Arabidopsis thaliana: one gene and its partners. The protein of the gene in region 2 interacts with the protein of the main gene of each other region in a pairwise test. Each region holds a gene or a part of one and is shown on either strand. Other genes may lie near its edges.

What was found.
Region 1: the proteins of MYB51 (region 2) and ALDH11A3 interact in a two-hybrid assay, tested with the Arabidopsis thaliana proteins (one study listed by BioGRID).
Region 3: the proteins of MYB51 (region 2) and G2484-1 interact in a two-hybrid assay, tested with the Arabidopsis thaliana proteins (one study listed by BioGRID).
Region 4: the proteins of MYB51 (region 2) and CEV1 interact in a two-hybrid assay, tested with the Arabidopsis thaliana proteins (one study listed by BioGRID).

What each region holds. Positions count from the first base shown.
Region 1 is NC_003071.7:10,326,415-10,331,633, reverse strand, and holds ALDH11A3 (aldehyde dehydrogenase 11A3), read left to right. Parts: upstream 1-1,625; 5' UTR 1,626-1,809; coding exon 1,810-1,912; exon of another isoform or gene 1,913-2,015; coding exon 2,016-2,177; intron 2,178-2,382; coding exon 2,383-2,576; intron 2,577-2,669; coding exon 2,670-2,798; intron 2,799-2,890; coding exon 2,891-3,010; intron 3,011-3,083; coding exon 3,084-3,220; intron 3,221-3,297; coding exon 3,298-3,453; intron 3,454-3,539; coding exon 3,540-3,918; intron 3,919-3,998; coding exon 3,999-4,115; intron 4,116-4,195; coding exon 4,196-4,309; 3' UTR 4,310-4,499; coding exon of another isoform or gene 4,500-4,525; 3' UTR 4,526-4,709; downstream 4,710-5,219. UniProt on the Arabidopsis thaliana protein: Important as a means of generating NADPH for biosynthetic reactions.
Region 2 is NC_003070.9:6,387,421-6,391,907, forward strand, and holds MYB51 (myb domain protein 51), read left to right. Parts: upstream 1-1,978; 5' UTR 1,979-2,344; coding exon 2,345-2,480; intron 2,481-2,594; coding exon 2,595-2,724; intron 2,725-2,813; coding exon 2,814-3,606; 3' UTR 3,607-3,966; downstream 3,967-4,487. Other genes in the region: AT1G18560 (BED zinc finger and hAT dimerization domain-containing protein), read left to right, coding at 1-585. UniProt on the Arabidopsis thaliana protein: Transcription factor positively regulating indolic glucosinolate biosynthetic pathway genes.
Region 3 is NC_003075.7:9,694,681-9,699,686, reverse strand, and holds the start of G2484-1 (G2484-1 protein), read left to right. Parts: upstream 1-1,980; 5' UTR 1,981-2,126; intron 2,127-2,264; 5' UTR 2,265-2,337; exon of another isoform or gene 2,338-2,364; intron 2,365-2,504; 5' UTR 2,505-2,514; coding exon 2,515-4,108; intron 4,109-4,303; coding exon 4,304-4,711; intron 4,712-4,864; coding exon 4,865-5,006. Other genes in the region: TIP2;2 (tonoplast intrinsic protein 2;2), read right to left, coding at 1-369. UniProt on the Arabidopsis thaliana protein: Under salt stress, appears to prevent the accumulation of reactive oxygen species (ROS) in roots and required for the maintenance of cell wall integrity (cellulose, pectin and lignin composition) by interacting with importin alpha (e.g.
Region 4 is NC_003076.8:1,529,600-1,537,488, reverse strand, and holds CEV1 (Cellulose synthase family protein), read left to right. Parts: upstream 1-1,930; 5' UTR 1,931-2,241; intron 2,242-2,351; 5' UTR 2,352-2,398; coding exon 2,399-2,422; intron 2,423-2,594; coding exon 2,595-2,790; intron 2,791-2,908; coding exon 2,909-3,114; intron 3,115-3,207; coding exon 3,208-3,310; intron 3,311-3,422; coding exon 3,423-3,600; intron 3,601-3,708; coding exon 3,709-3,975; intron 3,976-4,075; coding exon 4,076-4,421; intron 4,422-4,501; coding exon 4,502-4,639; intron 4,640-4,727; coding exon 4,728-4,853; intron 4,854-4,934; coding exon 4,935-5,147; intron 5,148-5,273; coding exon 5,274-5,535; intron 5,536-5,698; coding exon 5,699-5,901; intron 5,902-5,997; coding exon 5,998-6,348; intron 6,349-6,503; coding exon 6,504-7,088; 3' UTR 7,089-7,357; downstream 7,358-7,889. Other genes in the region: AT5G05180 (myosin heavy chain, striated protein), read right to left, coding at 1-396, 493-565; RUL1 (Leucine-rich repeat protein kinase family protein), read right to left, coding at 7,472-7,889. UniProt on the Arabidopsis thaliana protein: Catalytic subunit of cellulose synthase terminal complexes ('rosettes'), required for beta-1,4-glucan microfibril crystallization, a major mechanism of the cell wall formation. Involved in the primary cell wall formation, especially in roots.

The DNA of each region.
Region 1 (5,219 bases), on a different chromosome or scaffold from region 2:
TTCGAATATCTTAGTAGGATCTATATGATGAATACTAAATGTCTCAAACCATCACAGTTTATAACATGAAATTCTATTATGACACTCTGAATTTGAAATATATTTTCTATGCCACCTAAATAACTCTTTGTTGAATATAATTTTTATTTTCTTAATAGGATATGCAAAAATTAATATTTTATCACTTTGTAAGATCTAATCAAGAGTAATTAAGAGTTAATCAGCAGTTAACTTATGAATTAAATCAAGTGTTAACATGCATTTCAAAAGATTAAAATCACAAAAGAGAAAAATGTTTTCTTAAAAAAAAATAAAAAAATCTTATCGTCTTTTATTGTCCCAAAGAAGATAACGAACTCTGTACAAAAGCTTCTAACCGTCGTTTAAATTTTCCATAACTTTGTAAGGAACAAATGAGGTAAAATTTTAGTTTACTTAAAATTTAGTTATGTTACACGACATCAGAATAAACTTACAGAGACAAACAAAACGTGTAAGGCCTTGAACCAAGATAACTACGTCTAGTTCCAAAACCGCTTTTGGCTTTATTCAATTTCCTTGTTTATCATAGTATCGTAGCATCTTTGTTATTCAGTTTGAATGATAATAGTATTGTGGTTAAGAGTATAGTAAAACATCTACAACAATACTCCGTAATTAGTATTTTGATAGATTAATATATTTTGGTCTTAAATTACTATTTTTGAATCAATTAGTAACTTTATAAATTAATCAAATCTTATATATTTTCGACATTACTAACATAGTATATTGTTTTTATTGTTATATATGTCATCAATCACAAAAAGAAGAACTATTTGTATTGAAGGCCACCACTTATCTCTTATTGTGTTTATATCTCAACTAGTTATTATGTTAAAGGTAAAACTCTTATCATATAGAGCCCAAACTGTTCTAATAACAACAATTAAAGATAAATCTAAATTTTGATAATTTGACTAACATCTATGTTGTATCTCATATGCAAAAATATATGTTTGTGATTTCACTATGCAAAATTAACATCTATGTTAAAACTTTCTATATGAAAATATTATAGTTTTTTAATAATACTTACACATCCAACATTCAAACAATGTGATTTCACTCCATAGCGTTTTTTGTTATTTTGAGATGTTAATTTTGTAATGCAACCTAAACATCTTCATCTTCTCAAAAAATCTTGGTATACTTTAAATATGTTGTTTCTGCTTACTTTTTTTTTGGTTTATAAACATTTGATTATTCTTGTTTCAGTTGATGAAATCTCTAACTTGTTTTTCTTTTTGATCATGTTATAGAGTTGTAGTTCCACTTGAGAATATGTCTGCTATGCAAATTACATATCATCTTTTTCAATGGCTTACATATAATTGTTGTAAAATTCATGAATAATATCACTTGATTATTTAATGTTATAGAAGATGGATTAAAATGTTTAAAACTTTTCAAGATTTTTTTTGAAATTTCAATAATATGACCAAATTGTTTTTTTTTTTGAATTTGTTTGGAATATTCCATAACAACCGGACCTTGGAAAATAAATACATGCATGTTTGTTTGTGTATGATGAATACATAGACATGTTTGTGGTTGTGGCTATCATGAGTCCCTTCGTTAATAAACAATGATGTAGGACCAATAGCTATTCAATAACCAACAAAACGATCACACACCAAGAAACTCTTCTTCACTCTCTCTAATTCTCATTCTCATTTCTCACCATACAATTTTTCATCTCCCTCTCTTTATCCTTTTCTAGATTTTCTTTTTACCCTTCAATCACTTATCTCTATCTATCTACCTTTCATGCTCTTTCACCACTCCTTCCATAAAAATCTATCAATAATCACTTCCTCTCTCTCTCTCTCTCTCTTATACAACACTCAAGAAGCGAGACACAGAGGAGAGAGTTAGTCTTCTTCTCTGTTTTTGTCTCTTTGGCTATATATATTCAAACATTGTGTGAACAGAACACAAATCAACACAACACACACAACTTTGTGTTCTTTAAGTTTTGTTTCAGAGATCAATGGCCGGGACTGGATTGTTTGCTGAGATTCTTGATGGAGAAGTATACAAATACTACGCTGATGGTGAGTGGAAAACTTCTTCCTCAGGTAAGAGTGTTGCCATCATGAACCCGGCCACGAGGAAGACACAGTACAAGGTTCAAGGTATATCTCATTAAGTTTCATTCTTTCTTGATTTCAGATATTGGCAAAAATTTGGAGATATATACTAGAAATATTGATGAATTTTGGTAGATTGATTACTTGAACAAGTTTTGATAACAACCTAAGAATCTCCGAAGATAAACAGAGAAGATAAAAACAGAGGATTTCAAGATAAGACAATGTTCTGTTTTTCTGTTTAACACAGCATGCACGCAAGAAGAAGTGAACGCGGTGATGGAACTGGCGAAATCAGCTCAGAAATCGTGGGCGAAAACTCCTCTTTGGAAAAGAGCTGAGCTTCTTCACAAGGCTGCAGCAATCCTTAAGGACAACAAAGCTCCCATGGCTGAGTCTCTTGTTAAAGAAATCGCTAAACCCGCCAAAGATTCTGTTACTGAGGTCTCACCATATCCCTCTCTATGCATCAACTTCATACGAAGCTCTTTTTGTTTTGTGTTTTTCAAGATCTTTAATGTTTGATATTGGTGAAAGGTTGTGAGGTCTGGAGATTTGATCTCTTATTGTGCTGAAGAAGGTGTTAGGATCTTAGGTGAAGGGAAGTTTCTTCTCTCCGATAGCTTCCCCGGTAATGACCGTACTAAGTACTGCCTCACTTCCAAGGTATAATCTCTTAGATTCATATGTATGCGTCAATAGTTGAAGTTGTTAACAAATGTTTTGATCAAATTATGTGTTTGTTTTCTGATCTGAAGATTCCACTCGGTGTGGTTTTGGCTATTCCTCCATTCAATTATCCAGTTAATCTCGCTGTATCGAAGATCGCTCCTGCTTTGATCGCCGGAAACTCCCTTGTCCTCAAACCTCCAACTCAAGTAACTAAGAAGCTTTTAACACTCTTTTAAAATGAATGTTTTGAAAATGCTTTTTAACGGTCAGTTTCTTTAGGGAGCTGTTTCTTGCCTTCACATGGTACATTGCTTTCACTTAGCCGGTTTCCCAAAAGGTCTTATCAGCTGCATCACCGGAAAAGGATCTGAGATCGGCGATTTCCTCACTATGCACCCTGCTGTTAACTGCATTAGGTATATATATATACACACATTCAACAAAACAGGTTATGTTCATTTTAACTGCTAATATTTCTGATAACCGGTTTCAGTTTCACGGGTGGTGATACCGGAATCTCAATCTCAAAGAAAGCTGGTATGATCCCTCTTCAAATGGAACTTGGAGGTAAAGATGCATGCATTGTTCTAGATGATGCTGATCTTGATTTAGTTGCTTCCAATATCATCAAAGGAGGATTCTCTTACAGGTATTATGCTATAGCTAGCCTAGTTACAATGAATGTAGTTAACCAATTGTGATTATGTGTTAACCGGTTTTATCTACCTTAACCAGCGGGCAGAGATGCACTGCGGTTAAGGTAGTCCTAGTGATGGAATCAGTAGCGGATGAGCTTGTTGAGAAAGTGAAAGCTAAAGTGGCCAAACTCACGGTGGGACCGCCCGAAGAGAACTCCGATATCACGGCAGTGGTGTCGGAATCTTCAGCTAATTTCATTGAAGGATTGGTGATGGATGCTAAGGAGAAAGGAGCAACGTTTTGTCAAGAGTATAAAAGAGAGGGTAACTTGATTTGGCCGTTGCTTTTGGATAATGTTAGACCGGACATGAGGATCGCGTGGGAGGAACCATTCGGTCCTGTTGTGCCGGTCTTGAGGATCAATTCTGTTGAAGAAGGGATTAATCATTGCAATGCAAGCAACTTTGGCCTTCAGGTTTGGCTATATGGATTTGGTTTAGTCCGGTTTATATGGTTTGCATTTAACCAGAGCTAACACAATAATTGCATTTGAAGGGATGTGTATTCACTAAAGACATCAACAAGGCAATACTGATCAGTGATGCAATGGAGACAGGAACCGTTCAGATCAACTCTGCGCCAGCTCGTGGACCGGACCACTTCCCTTTCCAGGTAAACCATCGATGTCTAGACCCTTTTTTGCCTCCGTTATGACCGGTTTGATTAACTCGGTTTTGGATTGGAATAAACAGGGACTTAAGGACAGTGGAATAGGGTCACAAGGTGTGACAAATAGCATCAATTTGATGACTAAAGTGAAGACCACTGTCATTAACTTGCCTACACCTTCTTACTCTATGGGTTAGTTTCCCTTTTTTTTTATGTTCTTCATCTTAGAATCAAAATCAATCATGTCATGTTTGTATTGGATTCAATCGAATACTGCGAATAAAGGGAGTGATTAGCGTAACTATTATGGTTTGTAATCTCTATGTAACCAATAAGAGGATATTATGAAAGATGAGTGAGAGGTTTGGTTGTGTTGTGTTATAACAGGGGACGGTTTCATCTCACGCCTGTGATTCGAGCACACAAAACTGAAAACTTCTTTTGATAATTGGAGTTTTATCATTTAAAATAATTTTGATTTTGGTTAATGGTAATAATTGAAAATATATTCCATTTTAAGATAATCGTTTGAGACCAATCTCATTGATTTCTCCGTTGGAATTTTCCAAAAATTTACTACAATAAAGTATTCTTTCAGATGGTATCGAAAGTACAAACTGGTCAGATGAATACTTTTTGTATGGAGTATTAATGTGGTAAAAAAAAGTATCAAGTTCTGTCTGAATATAATTAACCGAATAAGAATAACTGTGGGAGTAAAGAAAAAATAAATGTGGGAGTACGTACCATTTACGGATTTACCATTTTAAGACATTCACACTAATAAATTATAAGTCGATTTATGGTAATTGAATGGTAATTGCAGTCGAGATTAAAGTTAAACAGAATAGTTTTTTTTTTTCAAACAACTGTAGATTTTTAGTTGACAATGACAGCGGAAGTTCAAGAAGAGATAATCGAAGAGATCTAAAAAAAAACAAATTCAGTTTCCAATTGATGGAAGAAAGAAAGTCCACTCTCAAGTCTCAGTTCTCATCCTTGCTTGCATTAGACATTGAGACATTGATATTTTATTTTTAAAATATGATCACCAGATTATTAGGTGGAAGAATATCCTAAGAAGTTGTGGAAGTGTAATGCTCTATT
Region 2 (4,487 bases):
AAAACAGAGTACATTCCAGAGACGATTAATCTCGAGAGCTATATAGATGAAGCAAGAAGTCATTTCATTCGTAACTATTCTTCCTCTCATTTCACATCTTCAATGACTAGCGGGTATCGTCCTCAGGAGGTAGATGAAGGAGGAGGAAATATCTCATTTGCAGAGGAAATCGCTAGAAGGAAAAGAAGAGGAAGTATGAGTAACAATGTTGTTGATGAACTGACTCAGTACTTATCAGAGTCTATAGTTCCAATGCAGACTGATGTGCTTGATTGGTGGAAGGTAAACAGTGGAAGATACCCGCGACTTTCCAACATGGCTCGGGATTTCCTTGCGGTTCAGGCGACTTCTGCTGCACCGGAAGAGATCTTTTGTGGTAAAGGAGAAGAGATTGATAAGCAGAAGTATTGCATGCCTCATGATAGCACACAATCTGTTATTTGTATCAGATCATGGATTGAAGCTGGTATGAAACTGAAGTACAAGTGTAGTGAGATTGACTATGAACGACTAATGGAGTTAGCTGCCACCGTGGCCGCTGATAATTCTGCCGGAGGTTTAGAAAAAATTCAACAACATAGGTGAGATTATTTTTTAGTATTTGTACTAAAGAACTACTGTAATTTAGTTGTCATACTTTTAGCATGAATCATTGAATTTAGAGTTGGGTTGATGTAAACCAAGCTGGTTAGCTTTCTTCATAACCGTATGTACTTTCATATCATATTAGAGAGAAAAAAAAACACAATGTTGACTAATTAATGGGTTCTGTCTAACTAGAAAAGTGGAAATTAGTTGTACGAAAAAAGAAAATAGCTTATCTCTTTCTTTGTACCTTAGATTTTTCCTTGGTATAATGGATATCGATATGTCCAAGTCCAGTGTTTGAGTGACCAAGTTGTTGCTTTAATTTAATCTAGTTCAAATACGACTACTTTTGTGTTGTACCTCTCTACCTTACCTTCCTCGAATTTTCAATTCGTGTGCTAGTTTGCCAATTGTTTCTTTATAATTTTGTCGTCTCTATGATTGTTTAAGCATATTTAAATATTTGAGAGAAAAAAATACTAAGAGTTCAGTCGTATTTTGAAAAGTCCTCGCACTCCAAGTTTTAAAGTTGAATTCATTCTGTCATGGAAACGTACCTTTGTGGTTTTTCATTTCGATAGACATTTTTTAACTCTTCTGATAAATTCAAAATGTTTTTTTACATTGGTTAAAATTTGTTGCCAATTTCAATAAAGCTTTTTTTTTACTCGTTATAAAATTAAAAACTTGCTGAGAAATTATAGTTTCATATATACTTTGGACCGACGGTCAATACCAAAAAACTAAAATAAAATTTTGGTCAAGAATCGGGTCAATACAAAATATCTCCAAAGATCGAAGAGAAAGTTCAACAGGATTTTAATTTAATTGGTGTTCCGGACCTGCCGGCGCCGTATTATAATTCTTCAATAAATTTTATATTTTGGATTGCATAATCAAAACTATTTGCATAGCAGACATAGATTTCAAAATAAATTGATACGTAATTAGCTATTTACATAGGCAAGACAATTTTACGTTACATATTTTGCATGCTTGATATTCATTCTTTTTTTTTAGCAACCTTTGCTATATTCATTCTATTTTTTCCCCTTTTTTTGCTACTATCAATATCATATCAGATGTGGCGGTTCTTATGCATGGGATTATGAAAAATGATATTATATAATAGATGTCTTCGTAGTATTTTTTTATTGACAATCAAAATAAAATAAATTAGTTTAAGAAAGATCAAAAGTCTAGTGTCAAAATGTCCACTGACAAAAGTTAGCAGTTTTTCTTTTATGTAATAATCCGATTATAAAAAATTGCGTTAAGGAATCATAATGAGCCATGTGTCAGTCATATTTAAACGACGACGTTGGCAGCAGCCACACGTACAGCCTCAGGCAAGCATAAATAGAGATGGGCTCTTTCCTATAAGTTTCCCACTTTGCAAAGTGTAACACAAACAGTTCTCTTTAGAGAAAAAAAGATTCTCTCTATAAAACCTTCTCTTTGTGTCTCTCTTTGTGGTAAGAAAACAGAGCAACTAGATCTCTCTTCTCCTCTGCTCGTTCAATGTTATAACGATCTCGAGTATCACAAAAGAACAAGATGTCTATTCGAAGAATCTACCGATGTCTGAATTCTTTAATCAAAAGATCTTGTGCTCAATCTCTATGATCATACGCCCCATTTCACACTTTGTTTCACCTCTCAGTTTTTTTTTTTGTGTTTTTTTGTCCCTCTTTGTTTCACTTGAGAACAACCCCCTTTGAACTCGATCAAGAAAGCTAAGTTTGAAGAATCAAGAATGGTGCGGACACCGTGTTGCAAAGCTGAACTAGGGTTAAAGAAAGGAGCTTGGACTCCCGAGGAAGATCAGAAGCTTCTCTCTTACCTTAACCGCCACGGTGAAGGTGGATGGCGAACTCTCCCCGAAAAAGCTGGTATGTATTATTTTTTATTATGTTTATTCCGTCATGTTTGAATATTCAATGTTGGACCTTTATTGGTCATTATTGCTCAATTATTTTACTTAAATAATTCTTCTAATTGGATAGGACTCAAGAGATGCGGCAAAAGCTGCAGACTGAGATGGGCCAATTATCTTAGACCTGACATCAAAAGAGGAGAGTTCACTGAAGACGAAGAACGTTCAATCATCTCTCTTCACGCCCTTCACGGCAACAAGTTAGTCTCTCTACCTCTACATTTTATACTTATTTTTTGTTTGCATTAACATTTACTAATATTGTAATCTTATATGTGGTTTTAATCAGATGGTCTGCTATAGCTCGTGGACTACCAGGAAGAACCGATAACGAGATCAAGAACTACTGGAACACTCATATCAAAAAACGTTTGATCAAGAAAGGTATTGATCCAGTTACACACAAGGGCATAACCTCCGGTACCGACAAATCAGAAAACCTCCCGGAGAAACAAAATGTTAATCTGACAACTAGTGACCATGATCTTGATAATGACAAGGCGAAGAAGAACAACAAGAATTTTGGATTATCATCGGCTAGTTTCTTGAACAAAGTAGCTAATAGGTTCGGAAAGAGAATCAATCAGAGTGTTCTGTCTGAGATTATCGGAAGTGGAGGCCCACTTGCTTCTACTAGTCACACTACTAATACTACAACTACAAGTGTTTCCGTTGACTCTGAATCAGTTAAGTCAACGAGTTCTTCCTTCGCACCAACCTCGAATCTTCTCTGCCATGGGACCGTTGCAACAACACCAGTTTCATCGAACTTTGACGTTGATGGTAACGTTAATCTGACGTGTTCTTCGTCCACGTTCTCTGATTCCTCCGTTAACAATCCTCTAATGTACTGCGATAATTTCGTTGGTAATAACAACGTTGATGATGAGGATACTATCGGGTTCTCCACATTTCTGAATGATGAAGATTTCATGATGTTGGAGGAGTCTTGTGTTGAAAACACTGCGTTCATGAAAGAACTTACGAGGTTTCTTCACGAGGATGAAAACGACGTCGTTGATGTGACGCCGGTCTATGAACGTCAAGACTTGTTTGACGAAATTGATAACTATTTTGGATGAGTGAAACTCATAATCGATGAATCCCACGTGACCATGTCAATATGATGTCTATGGATATGTTACCTTGATGATGTTGATGGTAATAATAATAAATAATGATGGTGATGATGACCATGCATGAATCATGAATGTAGTTCGTGTTGTCACATATGCTTGTGTTTTTGTGTTTTTTTTTTTTGGTCTGAAGTGTGTTGTTTCGTTGTAAATGGATTATAAATGGTGATGTAATAATTATAATGTTAACGAGTTGTTAACTTTAGTACTTTTATTGTGTTGGTTATCAGAATTTGTATCCATCCGAATATGAGATTGCTTTATTTTGAAAAATCATTCATTAGCTGCTGCTGCTGCTAACTACTAGTACCATTGCTATTTTAAATTTTAATTGGCAGTATTCCACTATTAGGTCATCTTCATCTGTAAGATACTTTAAAAGGTTTTAAAATAAAATAAAAAATTACTGTAATTTAATTTTGTAATTATTTTTTTTTAAAAAAAATATTCAATTATAAGCAAACACTTATAGAAATAGTCTTTCACTGATTATTCCAAAATTTCTCAAGAAACGTTTCTTCATTTTTTGTCATTCTCTCTCCTCATTTATTAATTATTTATATTATCTTTATCAAAAGAAACTCTAAAAATTGTATGGATGGAGATGCTCTGGTTTATTTTATGAGTTAGGGCTAATAGATTGAGCAGATTGGTAAAGAAATATATCCTCAACCAGTTTTGTATATTAAAAAAAAAACCAACGATTAACTTATTTTGTGACTTAAATCTTTCATTCTCTAATGTATATAAAATTCACCCTATCAACATACGAATAATATTCAGCAATGAGACCCACATAAATTTAAAGCAAGCGAGAGGATCATTCT
Region 3 (5,006 bases), on a different chromosome or scaffold from region 2:
GGTAACGAAGACGAGGAGGAGACACGCGACGATGGAGCCAAGGCATTGAGCAATCCAGTAAAAGAAACCGGTTATTACTGTGATGTTGCCACCGACGGCGAGACCGAGTGTCACGGCGGGGTTAAGGTGTCCGCCGGAGATGTTGGCGGCTATGGAAACACCAACGAAAAGGGCAAAGGCGTGAGCCACAGCGACAGCGACAAGACCAGCGGGGTCCAAGGCTGCATCGGATGTGAGCTTGGCAAAAGCAAGAGCAGAGCCAACGCCAGCAAACACAAAGAGAAGAGTTGCGATAAATTCAGACAAGTAAGCCTTAAGAGATGCTACACTAAAGGAGTCACCCACACTTCCTATCTCAATCTTCACCATTTTGATCCGACAAAATAACTCTGTTTTTCGACTTTGGTTGATTACAAGTTATTTCTATTTGTGTGGTTTTGGGCATACTAATGCTTGACTTTATATATAGCAAAGAGCCAAACGAGGTAATGAAGTTGTTGGTCCCACTCTACGTGGCCTGTCACAATTGGATGCCGCCCAAACCGCCAATTATTTAGACTATTCATTTTCTTTTGAATTTTGAGGGTTAGTGACATCGAAGATGATTAAAGACAACCAATTGGTATAATGCTATGAAAATGATGGATAAGGTATTTCATAATATGTGAAGATAAGAGTGTTCTGTTGTCATGTTAATATCCTGCATTTAAACTAATGTTGTCTCACACCAATTATGATAGATGGTCGTATTCTTTTATATCTATATATATTTTTTTTGGTTACAATTTGTATTTTTTAGTTTGGGAGGTGCTAAACGCCTAAAATATTAATAGGGATTAGGAGTTAATTCATGTACCACCGCTGCTTTGTTTGGAGTTGGTGTGTAAGAGATATTGGCATATACATGTAATAAAATTGCAACAAACAGAAAACTTAAGATCTTAGAAAAGTGATCCAAAGTAGTGGTGACATTAAATAAAAATTTGCAGAGAGGATGGTTGTTTATAATACTTTCTCCGCCCCATGAATTTTAAAAGTAATATTTTTAGTATATGGTTTATGGATAGTTTTTTATTATCATGAATTTAATTTGCAGTATAGAACAACGAAGTGGAATGCTCAATCCTAGATTAAACCGATCCCTGACAAATGTTTTTCCACCCACTACCGCTTAAAAGTTGAAAATTATTCCATCCCAGTAAACTGATATTATGAACCAAACGTCCAAACTCAAATAATCGATCTGAAAATGAACTATATTTTTTTTAAAATTATGAATTCATTTTTCCTATTCAAAATATTGAATTCGAATCCAAACTAAACAAACAGAAAGAAAAACCTGATTTTAAATCCAATTTTGTTTTCAAGTTAAATAAACATTTGATTAAAACTTGAAGTCGAACCAATACCAATACGAAACCGTACCAAACCATCTATGGTACAAATACTATCATTCATAAACCAAAATACCAAAAAAACCTAACAGAAAAAAATTATAAAGTGGGCCTAAGCCCATATAAATATCCCAATGGATTCCTTTTGATCTGATGGTCCAAAAGTCCAATCCGTCAATTGCCTAACACACAAAAGCCTCTATCTATTAGTTAGTGAGTGACATGTCTCTTCTCTAATTTTATCCTTAAGACACTTTCCATTTTGTTTAGCCAACCAATCATCTTCATTACACTAATCAGTAGTCAATAGTCATTTCAACAATAAATCTTCTAACTTTTACCACAGTCACGTCAAACAAAAGTTGTTTTCTTTTACCTCTTGGTCATTTAATTTTCTTTTAACGGAACTCTAGCCAGTAAATTACACTAAATTTTAACGTACGTTAATTTAAAAGTAAAAAACCTTTCGCGTCTTTTTGTTTAAGTTCAATATTAGCCACACGATCCAGAAAATTCGACACGTGTCACTATGGATTAAGCGGCATCAGTATCCATCTTTATTTTCTCTCCAAATATTTATTTAATTTTGGGCTTTACTTAAACCAGACTCATTTCATTTGCCGAGGAAAGCGAATATAATTTATCGGGCATTTCTCTCCCAATCTGCTTCACTCGCCAAACCTCGTTTCTTCGCCGGAACCCTAGGTCACCTCCGTCAGTTTGAATTTTCCGGTGAGTTTAACTTCTTCGCTAGCGTTTCAATTTATCATTTTAAGAAAGTTCACTCTTTTAGGTTTTCGTGTGCCCTTGAATTTTGAGAAGGAAGAGATTTTATAATTGACGCGTATGGTTTTGTTGTTGGTGGAGCAGTAGTAGATGAACGTGCGATTAGGTAACAGTTGAGGTCTGACGGCCAGGTTTTCTTGTCACCGAATGGAGGGAGGTAGCGTCTCCATACACTCTTGTGTCGGTACTTTTCGCTTTCCTACTGTTTTACTCCACTCGACAAGAAAATGACCAGAGTCGCTTCTTTAAATATGTTTCACGGTTGTTGTGTTATGCTTTTGTTTCTTTTGGTTGTTTGATGTTTATATATGTCTCTGATTTCAGGAATAAACTCATGGATTATGATGACAGTGACTTTCAAAACCAGAATCTCCATTTAGCTGGTGAAGCCAACAACAAATTTCCACCAGTTTTACAGCCTTATGCTCTTCCAAAGTTTGATTTTGATGATACACTCAACACGCATCTGAGGTTTGATAGTTTAGGTGAATCTGAAGCTTTTCTTGGTATTGAGGGTAACGAAGATAATAACTGGATTGAGGATTTCTCTCGTGGAAGTAGTGGTATAGTGTTTAGTTCAGGTGCAACGGAGTCCTGTGCCATTTCTAGGCACAATAATGTTTGGTCTGAGGCTACTTCGTCGGAATCTGTTGCAATGCTTTTGAATTCAGTTGGACAGGACGAAGTTATTGTAAGAGAGGATACTATCAAGAAATCTGACACTTCTCATGAACTAGGCTGCACAATGGAAACAGTAGAGCCTGGTCAGACATCCCATGAAAGAAGTCTTTCCAAAGAGGAAACGGTGAACTTACAACCCAACCCCTCTGTGGATGATACTCCAGGAGAGTCCTCTGTGGTAAAGACAGATGATGGACAGGAGCAGGTTCTGGTTAAAGATGACTCACCAACGGCTGTAGAAGAGGCATCTGTGGAGGAAAAGAATTCCATCTTGACTTCTAATACCGCGACGGTAGAGGCTATAGATACTACTGATCTTGGTAAAATAGGAACTGAGACGACGGATAATCTTCTTGACCAAACAGAAGAGAAAGCCAATGTAGAATCAAGGATGGAAGATGATTGTAGCGATGGGAATGTACAGACTATTATTACTTGTAGCGGTGAGTTGAATAATCAGAGCACTTTACTTCCAGAGACTTCCAATGATGAAAATGTTATCAGCGACCACATTCAAAGTAGTTATAACCGCAATGATCTAACTGCAGATGCACGGTCAATTTTGGTTGAAGGTCATTCTGATAGCCATATAGACTCAGCTTCCGAAGTTGAAAAAGTGGAAGCTGAAAATATTGGCAAAACTGCAAAGCCTGATTTGAAGGAGATAGAGCTATCTGATGTCACAGTACTAGAAAGAGGGGACCAAGCTCCCTCTACTCTTGAGGTAGGTGGACAAGATGTTTCTGGGACCGAATGCCAAGATCTCCTTGTCAGCACTGTTCATACTAGCGTAGCTGTTGAAGCGTCTTTGGAACTTGCTGGGGAATTGACAACTATAACAAACAGTGTTTCCATTGAGAAGCCCGAGTTGCTTAGTCATCAACATATGGAAGTTATTACAAGTGAACATGAGTCTACTTTTCAGATAGAGACTGAGACATATCCGCAGATACACGTATTTGAAACTTCAGAGAGTGTTTATATTTCAACGATGGACTCAATGGTTGAAGCTAGAGAAGGTGGTGTGTCTAAGAAGAGTGACAATGAAGGTAGTGCTCGCACTTCTAATCTCGAGCAAAGCATGGAACTGCCTGTCAATGCCAATGATAGAGATCAAGATGTCAAGAACTCTCAGATCCTATCTGAAAGCGTTGTGTCTGGTTCTGTTGGCTATGTTTCAGGAGGCTCTACTTCAGAGTTGGCGGAGTCAGAATCTCAATCTGACAGCATTCCAACAGACAAGTCAGGTAAACATATTTTCTAATCCTTTTAATATACTCTATTTTCATACTGTGTACTTTTACGTTTTGCCTTCTCGTTCTCTAAGTAGCCCTTGTTCAGCTTTTTTTTTTGCTTCTGTCGGGGTCACCTTTCCACTGTAAATGTATATATCATGATTACTTCAAGTAATTTACTTGTTTCCCCCTAAATGTTTTCCACAGAGACTATGATTGACAGTTCTCTCAATCTCGAAGAATTACAACCTCTAAGTCAAGATGGAGCACCTGCTGTCAGTCTCACATCTTCAATAGATTTACATATGGTAAAGACATCCTCTGATGACAGTGACCAAGGCAGTTACTCTGAAACCAAGAAGGTTTATGGTGAACCTGAAAATGGTCAAACCGTTCCACCTGTGGATGCAAGTTGTTCAGGGAGTCAGATGGACCAAGAAGCTAGGAAGCGTGCTGAAGGTACTAAGCAAAGTACATACTCTGTTGAAGGCTGTCCTCGCTCTGAAGGGTCAAAGGATGCAGTAGATGCTGATGGTGTTGGACAAGTTTTGCAGCAGCAGTCTGAGGAATTAATTTTTGAAGAGAATGTAGTAACAGAAGCTGTAAAAGCTCCTGGTAACGATTTTTCTATTTTGGGCCATAGTAATTGCACTAGCTTGTTTCTTTGTATATTGCCCCGCCATGGAGACCTTACCAGATTTGTTTACCTTTCGATGGGTTGATTCATGTTGTAGCAACATTTTTTTCTTTTGCTGTCTTACTCCGCAGAGACTCTGTCAGTTCTGGACAAGGATAACAAAAATGAAATGCCTATTACTAGCTCCTTGCCTATTCTTGGGAGTGAAGCTGGAAAAGATGGCCAGGAAGAGGATAATACTGCTGCTTCTGGTGGGATTATGGCAGCTGGGAC
Region 4 (7,889 bases), on a different chromosome or scaffold from region 2:
CAATTTCTCCTTGTGCGATTTCTCGCTCACCACGTAGATACTCGCCAAACAGAACAACCGATTCTTTTTTCTCGGTCTCCTTTAGTTTCTCAATCTCTTGCTCAAATTCTTGAAGTTTCAAACTCGTAGTCCTAAGCTCTTCTTCACACTGGACATATTTCTTCATCAATTCTTCATAACTCATTTGTTTCTCCGGGGATAAGTCATGGCTATCCATTGACCCTGGTGATACGAGGTGATGGTTAAAAGATGAGTAAAAGGCCTCCGTGTCCGAATCTAAATCGGAATAAGAAGAGTTAGAATCATGATTGCCAGAAACATCAGAACTTCCTTGGTCAAAGTTGGAAGCTACTGTATCAGACTTTGGAGTTACAGGAGGTGAAGATCCATTGTGATCTGAAACTTGACAATTGATATGTCTAATAAGATTTCTACGTTTGAACGGAAACGCACACAACCAAAATAAGACATGAATGAATTATACGGTTATACCTGTTGAGATGTCCACAAAGGAATTCGAATTATGTGGCCACTCATCTGGGACCTCAACTGTTGTAAAATCCATTACACTTAAACAACAAAAAGCGAATCAACTTAAAAATGATCAAGCAAAAAAAAATCAAAGAAACGTAAACATAGAATGATGTAACAGAAAAACCCTAAAAATACAGAAGATATACGAGATATAAAAACTGGTAAGATTTTTATTTACTTTTTTTTTTTTTATACTCCTAAGATTTAGCTATAACTAAACGTATTTATATTTTTTGACCAAAAAAAAAAAAAACGTATTTATATTTATCTCTACAATAATTTCGATTAAAAATATCTAACAAAAAAAAAAGTTGTGATAATAATCAGTGGAAAACTATCATGAAGAGACAAGCTAATGTTCTTTAATTGAAATCTTAGAAAATAAAAAAACTAGGGTTGCGTAAATTTTAAGACTTTCTTATGTCACAGAACTGAACTTTTTTCACTACATGTAAACAGAAATTATAACTCATTTGCAACGGTGAAGAAACATAGACAAAGACCCTCCATAAATCTCAGAAAAACAGAGCAAGTAACTCAGATCATAAGATCTACAAAACACATCAACGGAACAAACAAATATCAAACCCTGAAATCTGATTCACATAGGACCAAATAAACATGAGATTTCACTGACCTTGAAAATTGATATGATCGAGGGAACAAAAGAGCAGATTTACAGGAAAAGTGAAGGAGAAACAAAGGAAGGTTTAAGTAGAGGATTGCTAGGGTACGAGAGTTACGAAGCAGAAGGTGGAAAGGTTTAAAGGGACGACAAAGAGGAGGGAAGATTTGTCGGATAGCGAAGAGAAAGTGGCGCTCTTTGGGATTCAAATGTTTGCCATTTTCTTCTTTTGTCTATCTGACAGTCTGTTCTTTGCTGCACTAGTGGCCACACATCTCCACATGCACCACCAGTTATCAAAGTTTGACCTATTAATTATTGGGTTCGGTTCGATTCAATTTTCTCTCGTAAATAACGTAAACCGAACATATACCAATTTTGTCTGCAAAGTCCAACAAACCCATTTTCTCGATTCTGTTGGGCTTGATGATACTAGAGTTGGACCTTTATTTTTTCAGCCCGCTGGTTTTAGCCTATTTTGATATACTAGTAAGTAAAGCATCACTATCAATATATTTTGATTTATTCATTGGACTAATCCGTTGATTAATTAATATTTTGAAGTTTTATTTTTGTCGGCAAATACTTTTTAAGTTTTATCTGTAAGAAAGTTAGTGACGATGAATATCCTTTACCCCACTACTTGTGATTTGTTGTGTTCTTCACACTTCTATTTTAGTTATATCACTATCAAATATCAATTACTATTTTGATTTAGTCACTAATTCGATGATAATATATTTCTAAGGATATTTTAAAGGTTTATCGGCCGTTTTTTCACTTTTTTTACAGCCACTGTAAAACTGTAACTAGAAAAAAATCGACTGTGGAAGTTGTCGGTGGTGGTGGTGGTTGTTGCTTGGTTGGATTATGATTTGTGACAAATATATTAATATTTTAAAAATCTGGAAGAGTGACGAGTAGAGGAGACAAATAGCTTGCTCTTTGCATCTTCTTAGCCATCCCAAGATTCTCCTCTTCGTCTTCCTTATAAACTATCTCTCTGTAGAGAAGAAAGCTTGGATCCAGATTGAGAGAGATTCAGAGAGTCACATCACCACACTCCATCTTCAGATCTCATGGTAAAGCTTTTAACTCTTCTTACACTCATGATCCATTCTCAGATTTGACTTCCTTTACTCGGATCTCCTCAGATCTAATCGTAGTTTCTGTTTTTGATAATTCCGATCAGATTTGAACTATTCCGACGTTTCGGTGTTGGAAGCAACTAAGTGACAAATGGAATCCGAAGGAGAAACCGCGGTATGCTTTTTTGACTCTTGCTTCATCATTATACTTACCTTTATCGAAATCAGGAATTATATGTACTGAAATTGATTGATTTGGGTGTTGAATTGTGTATTGGAGAGATCTGATTTCAAATTTTCTGTTGAGGTTTCTAATTTTGGCTTCATTGATTCGACTTGATTTGTAGGGAAAGCCGATGAAGAACATTGTTCCGCAGACTTGCCAGATCTGTAGTGACAATGTTGGCAAGACTGTTGATGGAGATCGTTTTGTGGCTTGTGATATTTGTTCATTCCCAGTTTGTCGGCCTTGCTACGAGTATGAGAGGAAAGATGGGAATCAATCTTGTCCTCAGTGCAAAACCAGATACAAGAGGCTCAAAGGTTCTCTTTTGATCCTTCTGAAGTATACTGTCTTCATTGTTCATCGATAGTTTATCAGTATGTTTTGAATTTTGGATCAGATTGGTATTTATAGCAATTTGCTAATTTCTGATTCTAGGTAGTCCTGCTATTCCTGGTGATAAAGACGAGGATGGCTTAGCTGATGAAGGTACTGTTGAGTTCAACTACCCTCAGAAGGAGAAAATTTCAGAGCGGATGCTTGGTTGGCATCTTACTCGTGGGAAGGGAGAGGAAATGGGGGAACCCCAGTATGATAAAGAGGTCTCTCACAATCATCTTCCTCGTCTCACGAGCAGACAAGATGTAAGGCATTGCTGTTCATTCTTCCCTCTTAAGCATTCGCATCCTCACGCAATTTAGTTTTGGAATCTGATTTTGTCATTTGCTTATTTACAGACTTCAGGAGAGTTTTCTGCTGCCTCACCTGAACGCCTCTCTGTATCTTCTACTATCGCTGGGGGAAAGCGCCTTCCCTATTCATCAGATGTCAATCAATCACGTAAATATCCTTTATTTCTAACTCTCTCGCCAACACATATATTTGTACCTAGGCTTCTCTTTTATGTCAAAACTCTAAACAATAAAATCTGTTGTTGTCATTCACGCTGCAGCAAATAGAAGGATTGTGGATCCTGTTGGACTCGGGAATGTAGCTTGGAAGGAGAGAGTTGATGGCTGGAAAATGAAGCAAGAGAAGAATACTGGTCCTGTCAGCACGCAGGCTGCTTCTGAAAGAGGTGGAGTAGATATTGATGCCAGCACAGATATCCTAGCAGATGAGGCTCTGCTGTGAGTTCTTGTTTTGTAATCTTGTTTGTTCTGTCGTGGTGTACCGAGCGTTTTTCCTATTAAGCAATGTCCTGATACTCATTTTCCAATTCTTTATTTATTGTACAGGAATGACGAAGCGAGGCAGCCTCTGTCAAGGAAAGTTTCAATTCCTTCATCACGGATCAATCCTTACAGAATGGTTATTATGCTGCGGCTTGTTATCCTTTGTCTCTTCTTGCATTACCGTATAACAAACCCAGTGCCAAATGCCTTTGCTCTATGGCTGGTCTCTGTGATATGTGAGATCTGGTTTGCCTTATCCTGGATTTTGGATCAGTTTCCCAAGTGGTTTCCTGTGAACCGTGAAACCTACCTCGACAGGCTTGCTTTAAGGTAAGTTCTATTTCCCCATTCTTCTGAAGCAATTACTCAAAGGATTGTTTGCCTATACTGTTTCCCATTTTAATTTGATCATGGTCAATTTTTGGGACAGATATGATCGTGAAGGTGAGCCATCACAGTTAGCTGCTGTTGACATTTTCGTGAGTACTGTTGACCCCTTGAAGGAGCCACCCCTTGTGACAGCCAACACAGTGCTCTCTATTCTGGCTGTTGACTACCCAGTTGACAAGGTGTCCTGTTATGTTTCTGATGATGGTGCTGCTATGTTATCATTTGAATCACTTGCAGAAACATCAGAGTTTGCTCGTAAATGGGTACCATTTTGCAAGAAATATAGCATAGAGCCTCGTGCACCAGAATGGTACTTTGCTGCGAAAATAGATTACTTGAAGGATAAAGTTCAGACATCATTTGTCAAAGATCGTAGAGCTATGAAGGTAAGTTTGTAGTTTTAGTCATCTAGTCACCCTCACTTTGATTTTAGTGTATGCTATATTGACCTTTTATTTTCTTTCAGAGGGAATATGAGGAATTTAAAATCCGAATCAATGCACTTGTTTCCAAAGCCCTAAAATGTCCTGAAGAAGGGTGGGTTATGCAAGATGGCACACCGTGGCCTGGAAATAATACAAGGGACCATCCAGGAATGATCCAGGTAAGAAATTGGTTTTAACTATGGAATCGAGAATGCTCTCTCTTTCTCTCTAGAAGTTCATTATTGAAGTACCATTTGCTGAATGCAGGTCTTCTTAGGGCAAAATGGTGGACTTGATGCAGAGGGCAATGAGCTCCCGCGTTTGGTATATGTTTCTCGAGAAAAGCGACCAGGATTCCAGCACCACAAAAAGGCTGGTGCTATGAATGCACTGGTAAGTTTCTGATCTTGGATTTTTGACTTCTTCATTCTGACCAATTTGTTAGTCTAATCTGGGTACTTTTCAAATGAATAGGTGAGAGTTTCAGCAGTTCTTACCAATGGACCTTTCATCTTGAATCTTGATTGTGATCATTACATAAATAACAGCAAAGCCTTAAGAGAAGCAATGTGCTTCCTGATGGACCCAAACCTCGGGAAGCAAGTTTGTTATGTTCAGTTCCCACAAAGATTTGATGGTATCGATAAGAACGATAGATATGCTAATCGTAATACCGTGTTCTTTGATGTAAGTCACACTTACCTATACTTGCGTCTAATTTTCTTGTTCTTTCAAATTGCTTTTAGACACGAATATACATTAAACTCACAGTTTCTTGAGTTTGTCGTAATTTTTCCATGATATGTTTTCCAGATTAACTTGAGAGGTTTAGATGGGATTCAAGGACCTGTATATGTCGGAACTGGATGTGTTTTCAACAGAACAGCATTATACGGTTATGAACCTCCAATAAAAGTAAAACACAAGAAGCCAAGTCTTTTATCTAAGCTCTGTGGTGGATCAAGAAAGAAGAATTCCAAAGCTAAGAAAGAGTCGGACAAAAAGAAATCAGGCAGGCATACTGACTCAACTGTTCCTGTATTCAACCTCGATGACATAGAAGAGGGAGTTGAAGGTACAACTGTTTTTATTTCTTCTTTGGTTTCCGTTATACCCATATGTTGCTGTTTGAAATATTGATCCAGGGGAGGGGATTATTTATAGTTGACAGTTGTCTAAATAGTTTCCATACTAGGTATCTCATCATGTCTTAACTATTTGGCATTTGTGAAACTTAGGTGCTGGTTTTGATGATGAAAAGGCGCTCTTAATGTCGCAAATGAGCCTGGAGAAGCGATTTGGACAGTCTGCTGTTTTTGTTGCTTCTACCCTAATGGAAAATGGTGGTGTTCCTCCTTCAGCAACTCCAGAAAACCTTCTCAAAGAGGCTATCCATGTCATTAGTTGTGGTTATGAGGATAAGTCAGATTGGGGAATGGAGGTATAATCTCATTTGAACTCCTACATGAATCTGCATTGTTCTGACATATCCACTTTGGCATTCACTTTGTTTATATTTTCCGCTGTCTTTCTTCAGATTGGATGGATCTATGGTTCTGTGACAGAAGATATTCTGACTGGGTTCAAAATGCATGCCCGTGGATGGCGATCCATTTACTGCATGCCTAAGCTTCCAGCTTTCAAGGGTTCTGCTCCTATCAATCTTTCAGATCGTCTGAACCAAGTGCTGAGGTGGGCTTTAGGTTCAGTTGAGATTCTCTTCAGTCGGCATTGTCCTATATGGTATGGTTACAATGGGAGGCTAAAATTTCTTGAGAGGTTTGCGTATGTGAACACCACCATCTACCCTATCACCTCCATTCCTCTTCTCATGTATTGTACATTGCCAGCCGTTTGTCTCTTCACCAACCAGTTTATTATTCCTCAGGTTTGACACCTCTCTCTGTCTATCTATCTCTATCTCTATCTCTATCTCTAGAACAAACCTTAATTACGTTCTGTTTAACTGAAACCATGTTGTGTTTGTCATCTATTTACGGTTCCAAATCCTGATCAGCTGGTTCTATTGTTCCTCTTTTGCAGATTAGTAACATTGCAAGTATATGGTTTCTGTCTCTCTTTCTCTCCATTTTCGCCACGGGTATACTAGAAATGAGGTGGAGTGGCGTAGGCATAGACGAATGGTGGAGAAACGAGCAGTTTTGGGTCATTGGTGGAGTATCCGCTCATTTATTCGCTGTGTTTCAAGGTATCCTCAAAGTCCTTGCCGGTATTGACACAAACTTCACAGTTACCTCAAAAGCTTCAGATGAAGACGGAGACTTTGCTGAGCTCTACTTGTTCAAATGGACAACACTTCTGATTCCGCCAACGACGCTGCTCATTGTAAACTTAGTGGGAGTTGTTGCAGGAGTCTCTTATGCTATCAACAGTGGATACCAATCATGGGGACCACTCTTTGGTAAGTTGTTCTTTGCCTTCTGGGTGATTGTTCACTTGTACCCTTTCCTCAAGGGTTTGATGGGTCGACAGAACCGGACTCCTACCATTGTTGTGGTCTGGTCTGTTCTCTTGGCTTCTATCTTCTCGTTGTTGTGGGTTAGGATTGATCCCTTCACTAGCCGAGTCACTGGCCCGGACATTCTGGAATGTGGAATCAACTGTTGAGAAGCGAGCAAATATTTACCTGTTTTGAGGGTTAAAAAAAACACAGAATTTAAATTATTTTTCATTGTTTTATTTGTTCACTTTTTTACTTTTGTTGTGTGTATCTGTCTGTTCGTTCTTCTGTCTTGGTGTCATAAATTTATGTGTAGAATATATCTTACTCTAGTTACTTTGGAAAGTTATAATTAAAGTGAAAGCGAATATTTTTTTGTTTCTGTAGTTAAAGCAGTGGTTATGATTTTTCAATTTTCATTAGTGAAAGCAGTTACGTTTGATCATAAGCACTAAACTACGATGCAAAGAGAAATTATTTTTAACTGGGATTCAAAAGTAATAAGATAGAAGTAGAATTGATCAAAGAAACTTTTGGTCGGAATGAGGAATCATTCAGAGACATTGGAAGTAGCCTCTGAGGATGTTCTGTTTTGCTGTAACTGCTGAGACTGATCCAATCTCCTCACATCTTCAATCATCCTCGCGACCTCTTCCATCTTTGGCCTCGATTCTGGATTCCTTGCAACACAGGCCAACGCTAGCTGAAGCATCTGAACCATCTCCTCTTCAATGTTCTGAAACTTCAAGAGCTCCACATCGAAAACCTCTGCAGTCCACTCTTCTCTCACAACAGACCGAACCCATCTCGGAAGATCAATGACGACACGCTCATCCTCGAGACCAGGCTGAGTTAAAGGTGTCTTCCCGGTTAGCATTTCGAGAATCACCACACCAAAGCTATAAACGTCTGATCTTTGACTGACTCTCCTCGTCTCAATAACTTCAGGAGCATTGTAGCCAATGGTT